Linked DNA regions of Macaca mulatta. The protein of the gene in region 2 interacts with the protein of the main gene of each other region in a pairwise test. Links are inferred from orthologs where the notes say so. Each region holds a gene or a part of one and is shown on either strand. Other genes may lie near its edges.

The links.
Region 1: the proteins of SPA17 (region 2) and MYL6B interact in binary tests that used the Homo sapiens proteins (3 or more experiments, as listed by UniProt). The two-hybrid records come from large-scale screens. The link is inferred for Macaca mulatta from reciprocal best matches to the Homo sapiens genes SPA17 and MYL6B.

What each region holds. Positions count from the first base shown.
Region 1 is NC_133416.1:63,303,964-63,308,156, reverse strand, and holds the start of MYL6B (myosin light chain 6B), read right to left. Parts: upstream 2,848-4,193; 5' UTR 2,803-2,847; intron 1,582-2,802; 5' UTR 1,515-1,581; coding exon 1,338-1,514; intron 620-1,337; coding exon 592-619; intron 377-591; coding exon 233-376; intron 16-232; coding exon 1-15. UniProt on the Homo sapiens protein: Regulatory light chain of myosin. Does not bind calcium.
Region 2 is NC_133419.1:125,100,380-125,102,973, forward strand, and holds the end of SPA17 (sperm surface protein Sp17), read left to right. Parts: intron 1-1,811; coding exon 1,812-1,955; downstream 1,956-2,594. UniProt on the Homo sapiens protein: Sperm surface zona pellucida binding protein. Helps to bind spermatozoa to the zona pellucida with high affinity. Might function in binding zona pellucida and carbohydrates.

The DNA.
Region 1 (4,193 bases), on a different chromosome or scaffold from region 2:
GCCGGGACTTCAGCTCTGGAGGTTGGAGAGAGATGAAGGAGAGGTCACTGTAGTATCACATAGGACCCGGCTCCCAACCCTACCACAATGCTTTCATCCTGTTCAGCATTTAGGATATTTTCCTGCTTCTGTGTTTGACAGTTTTTGAAGTCCTGAGATCCACCTCATTCTTTGTTACCAACATTCAACTTTTGAAAACTAAAAACCCAAATTGTTCCAAGGGTCCCCTCACCATCACTCTTGGGGTTCCCCAGGACCTTGAGCACCTCGGCGTTGGTGGGGTTCTGGCCCAGGGCCCTCATCACGTCCCCACACTGGCTGTACAGGATCTTGCCATCCCCTACTCGGTCAAACAGCTCGAAGGCCTCCTTGAACTCTAAGGTATAAGGAAGGGTCAGTGTAGACACTGACTAGGGGTTCCCATCACCCCCAGACAGAAGGGAATTTCAGAAACTATGTGAACAGAACAAGGGAGGAAAAGAGGACTAGTATGGGAGGTTTCAAGGTCGGGACTGGGGTTAGGGGAATAGAAAGAGAATCTGACCAGGGGATTGGGGACTGGACAGTGGGCTTAGACCAGCTTCTCCTCACCCTCCAGCTGGTCCTTGTTAAACTCGATCTGTGGAAGAAAAAAGCAGGTGGGGAGAGATGACAGTTTATTCAGTCCCTCTCCAGCACTCTTCCCAACCAACTGGCAGCCACTTCTGAGGAGGGGCCCAAAGGGACCAGGCTGGAAGCCCAGCCACCTCAGTCCCATTCCCAGCTCTGGGCCTTGGGAGAATCCCAAGAAGAGGAATTACAGTGGGGAGGGTTTCCTGGGAACAGGGTTAATCCCATGCCACCTGTTTCCCTCCCTCCATTGCCCTGAGCCCTGCATCCCTCACATAACTGGGGGCTGAACAAAGGCTAAATTTACCCCTGGCCCCCAGCTGTGATTGTCTAACAAGTCTGTCCTCTTCAGCCTCCCTTCCTGGAGTTCAGAGCTGCAGGCCTTTTGAGTTGAATCACCAGCCAGGGGCAGGCAACAGCTCTTTTCCCTTCACCTTGAAACTGTCCTCAGAACCCAGATGTTCCCCATCTAAGAGTCCCTGCCTCCAGCAGGGGGTAAGTGAGTGTGCATGTGCTGTACACACATGGTTATAGGTTAGAGGGAGAGAACAGCAAAGACAACAGCAGAGTCATAAGCCTGGATGCTTCCAAATGGGGGACTAAGGGAAAGCCCCAATCTCATTCCAGGGTTCATTGATTCCCTACCTTCTAGATACCCCCTAATCCCCTAAGCTGTATCTCACCCTCAAACCACCCCCTCCAATTATCTTCACTTTCCAGAGACTCACCACCACTTTGGAGAGATCGATTGGAGGCTCCTGGGTTTTCTGAGGGGCCTGGGGGACAGCTGGCTCAGCTTTGCTCTTGGCTGGAGGAGCCCCTGCTGCTGCTGCTGGCTTAGCAGCAGGTTTGGAGATGGAGGGCCCTGCTGGTTTCTTCACGGGAACATCCTTCTTGGGAGGCATGATGTCCGGTGGCCAAAGGACAGTGTGCGGATGGGGGCACCCATCTCTGTTTAAATAGCCAGGGAGTCTGGGATGTCAAGGGGCGGGGGCAGGGGCAGGGAGCCAGTTGGCTGTGGCGAGGATGAGGTAGAGGAGAGATATAACCGTCTGCCCTCACTCCCCTGGCCTCCTATGGTTCAGGACTCCTGCCCCAAGGTCTTCTTCCCTCTGTCCCCTCATCCCCAAAGGCTGTCCAGAAAAGAACAATGTTTCCTTTGAGGGTAGGGGAGGAAGCCAGGGACTGCCCAGAATGAGAGGTAGTTAACCTCCAGGGTGAGGATAGGATGCTTGCACTGAGATGGGGGTGGTGAGGCAAAGCAGGTGATCCAGCAGCTTTAGTCTTCTCGAAGGGTGGGGTGAGGGGTAGCAGTCAGGGAGGCTTGTGTGAACTGGAACAAGTTAAAGTGTGGTCTGGGAGCAATGACAAAAACAAGCAGCCCATCTGCCCAGCCCCTCCACTCCTTTCTGACCATGGCTTTGTAAAGAGCAGGGGTAGTTAACCCTACAGTCTAATAATCCCTAATACTTGTAGTTCCTGAGCCCGCACCCAGCCAAGAATTGAAACTATTCACAGTATAAAGGAAGAATAGTCATAGAAACAGGAGTGTGACATCCCTCATTGTCTCCTAGTGCGCAGTGTTGTTTTAGGGGAAGGAGTGGGGGCAAAGATCAGGTTTAACATCTGCTACCCATTCTTCCATGGAAGGAACCTTCTTCCACAAGACCACTGTCATTCAACACAAACAAAAGGTAGGGCGCTTGCTGAACCTGTGGGGACCCTGTGGTGGCACCCGAGAAGGGCGGGCTCTGGGAGAAGGCTTAAATTCCCTAATCCAAGAGGATGTGGGCACTCCTATGGCCTCCATGAGTATTCATCCCACTACCAGGGGTATAATAAAAATCCCGACTCAGGGGCCAGGTCACAAACCTTGCCGGGGGCACTGGGAGAGAGTCCAAGTTGGGGGGTGTTTGGGAGTGGGGAGGGGTTGCGGCCTACTTTTGTTCTGGGGGAAATTAGGAAAGGATTTAGGTAGCATTCTGAGGAAGATAGCAGTGACTCCACTTAGGCCCCGGGGTTGATGCTGGGTCTCCCATTCGCAAAACAGTGTCTGAATCTCATTACTGCAAACTGTCCCATTTTTACAAAATACATCACACACAGACACACACACACACACACACACACACACTCTCACACACCCCACTAAACCTTAAAGAAAGCGGCTCTCCTCAGCCCCCCAAAACTCACCCTGCGGGGTCCGCGTCTGTGGCTGGGGAGGGGGCGGTGCACAGCGCGGCCCCCCAGCCCTGAAGGGTTAATTCCGACGGCCGCGGAGCATGCCGGGAGTCGTAGTCCCCAGTGGGCTCACGGGATACGCCGCGCTCTAGATTGCAGCTGAGGCTAGGGCGGTGGCTTCCGGCCCATGGCGGCGTTTGGTGACTCAGTGTCCTTCCATGTCCCGGAACTGAAAGGCAATGAACAATTTCCAATCCACCCCAACCCTAAAACCCTGCAGGGTCCCTAGGGTATCCCTCCTACTTAGCCCTGGCGGGCTCCTAGTCTCGGGAGGCGGTGGGGGGGGGGGCGGTGGGGAGCGGGGCAGGTGTTTTCCTGGACCTACTGCTGAAAGAACTCCGAACCAGGGGAAAGGTTGAGGCTGCAGCAGGCAGCGTGGAGGTCAGATAGCTGGAAGCACTTACGGCCCCAGGGAGAGCGGCTGCGCTCTTTTTCGCTTCCTCTTGGGTTTGGTGGGAAAAAAAGAGGCCTCAGAGTAGTTTGTTTTTAATGAACTGGTTGCTGAAGTAAATGTTAAAATTTGCAATTAAGCCCAGTCACCTGCCCCAGCCTTCTGATCGAGGTTTCCATCCTGCGGCCGCATATGCGCTATCCTCCCCGGTCTTCATAGGTTCCTGAGCGGAGGGCTGGGCTTTCCAGACCTACTTTCTGAGACACTTATGGTCAGCATTGGAGTTTACTGGTTCCCCTAGGCGTTGATCAGAGGATGGGAACCAGCCCGGCCGGGCCCACCTTCATTCACTGGATCAGTAAATACACTGGCGGTGCACCTGGTGTTGGAGGCTGGGGCTGCACTGGCGTGTGAGGATTCGGTCAGAGCAGAAAACTCGGGCGAGGGCAGGGTGGTGAGGCACAGGTGAACTTTATGGGCAGTAAGTAAGGTTCACTGGTTCGGGAAAGTTTATTGGAAAGGTAGAAATGAATTGTACGACAGAAATAACGATGATAGTAAGTTAGCAACCATTTCTGGAGGCCACCATAGATCTGCTACCGATGAAGGGGTTAAATTATCTCAGAGGGTGCTCAAGTGCATGGGGTTCAGACGAGCCTGCTCATATTTGAATCCTGGTTCTACCAGGTGCTGGTTAGTGGCCCTCAGCAGGTTTAGTTGTCTCTCCTGGGCCTCAGTTCCTCATCTGTAAAATAATGATAATGGTACCTGCCTCATAGGGCTCTTAGGAGGATTCGAAGTGTTATTATTGGTAAAATAGGGCCGGGCTTGGTGGCTCACGCCTGTAGTCCCAGCACTTTGGGAGGTGAGGCAGGCTGGTCACCTGAGGTCAGGAGTTCGAGACCAGCCTGGCCAACATGGTGAAACCCTGTCACTACTAAAAATACAAAAA
Region 2 (2,594 bases):
CACCTGTAGTCCCAGCTACTCAGGAGGCTGAGGCAGGAGAATGGCATAAACCCAGGAGGCGGAGCTTGCAGTGAGCTGAGATCAGGCCACTGCGCTCCAGCCTGGGCGACAGAGCAAGACTCAGTTTCAAAAAAGAAAAAAAAAAAGATGTACAGGTTATTCAATTGTATTGTTTTCTGTTATATTCAATTATATTCAATTTCCATTGTATTCAATTATATTCAATTGTACTCTGAAGATTCATGCATTTTACTGTCTGTAAATTTATAGCTACAAACTTATAACCAATTTTTTTTAAAAGAGGGTATGTGCCAAAGTTCAACCAACCATGTTAAAACTGACATTATTGGACTAAATGGATTTTATTTATTTACTATTAGGTTGTACTGAAATAACATTAAGATATAACAGGAAGATTAACATTAAGATGTAACAGGAAGTCAAGCAAGAAGGGAGTTTTATTTCCTTACATCTTTCATAGGTGCTCTTACACAGGTTTTCATGAGTTTGAGTTTGAGTAGGGATCTCATTGATTTCAAACTTGAGTGTATTTGTTTGCCTATATTAGGATGTCGTCTCAAAGAATTTTGTACCATTCTGTTTGCATTTAAAAGTTTAAGAGCTAGATTTGTCTCATTGTTTATAATGGGGGGATAGGAGGCTTGAGCAACCCAAAGGTCCATTAATATGAGATTGAGTAAATATTAAATAAAAGTACATCAGTATAATATAATGATGTCATAAAAAAAGAATGAGTAGAGTTATACACTGACTAATAACACAGAAAAAGAGAACCAAGATATATCGTTACATGGAAAAAGTAGCTGCAGAACTCTGTGATTAGCATGATCTCATTTTTAAAATAAAAAGGCACATATATATATATACCCATATGAATATATTTGCATATAGAGAAATTTTGGAAGGATGTAGATACTCAACTCATAATAATGGGTATCTCCCAGGAGCAGGATTTGGATAGAGGGAGAAAATTATCACTGCCAGTGACATTTGAGTTTTTTAAAGTGTATACATGTCATTTCTATAATTTTAAAAGATATATTAAAAGCTATATATTCAATTGTACTCTGAAGATTCATGCATTTTACTGTCTGTAAATTTAGAGCTAAAAATTTATACCCAATTTTTTTTAAAAGAGGGTATGTGCCATAGTTCAACCAACCATGTTAAAACTGACATTATTGGACTAAATGGATTTCTCTTTGGCACCTCACTTTAAATGTATGACTATGATTAGCTAATCATTGAGAAATTGAGAAGTTATTCTAATTCATTATATATCATTGTGATTATTTTGAAACATAACATTTACTATTCTTTCTCCTTAACATTTTTACTATGCCTCAAAGATTCTTTCTTGTCCCCCCAAACCCCCCAAAAAATGTTATTGCTCAGGAAACTTAAATAGACACTATTTTGGGGGAAAGAAAGTTGGCAATGATCTTTCGTTGCAGAGACATATTAAAAGATATGTCTTCTAATATCTATCTGTATTCTTCATACTCCAGACTCTTGTGGACTAGTCCTCATAGAAAGAAGAACTCACTCTCTACAATGTCGAAGTTCAAACTTCCGAGTTCCTTTTTGTGTCTCAGGCGAACAAAATGTCTGCTATTTTGGCATTTGCTATTTGGTACATATACAATGTGACAATATATGAAATTCCCTCAGGAAGCAACAACTCTCAGATAGTTGCATCCCTAAATTGATTAAATTTGTTGCATTATTTTTATGGCATCAAAAATACGGCATGTTTAAAGAGTCTCTTACTTTTTCTCCTTTCGATGAAGGACTCTTCTGAGGAAGATAAGGAAAAAGAAGAGGTTGCTGCTGTCAAAATCCAAGCTGCCTTCCGGGGACACGTAGCCAGAGAGGAGGTAAAGAAAATGAAAACAGATAGTCTTCAAAATGAGGAAAAAGAGGAAAACAAGTGAGGACACTGGTTTTACCTCCAGGACACATGAAAAATAATCCAAATCCATCAACCTTCTTGTTAATGTCATTTTTTCCTGAGGAAGGAAGATTTGATGTTGTGAAATAACATTCGTTGCTGTTGTGAAAATCTGTCATGAGCATTTGTTTAATAAGCATACCATTGAAACATGCCACTTGAAGATTTCTCTGAGATCATGAGTTTGTTTACACTTGTCTCAAGCCTATCTATAGAGACCCTTGGATTTAGAATTACAGAACAAAAGCATCTGAGATTACAGAGATCTCAGAGGTTATGTGTTTTAACCATTATCAAATGAATAAATCCTCTCTATCACATCCCCCAAAAATGTTCTTTAGCTCCTGTTTCACTCCTAGTGATAAAAAATTTCACTGCTTCTTAATGATAGTCTATTTTCTTTTGGAATTTTTAGAAAGATAAGCTGGAACAAAAATCTGCCTCCTTCAGCCTGGCCCACATGGTGAAACCCCATGTCTACTAAAAATACAAAAATTTGCCAGGCATGGTGGCGCACACCTGTAATCCCAGCTACTTGGGAGGCTGAGGCAGGAGAATTGCTTGAACCTGGGAAGTGGAGGTTGCAGTGAACTGAGATTGCACCACTGCACTCCAGCCTGGG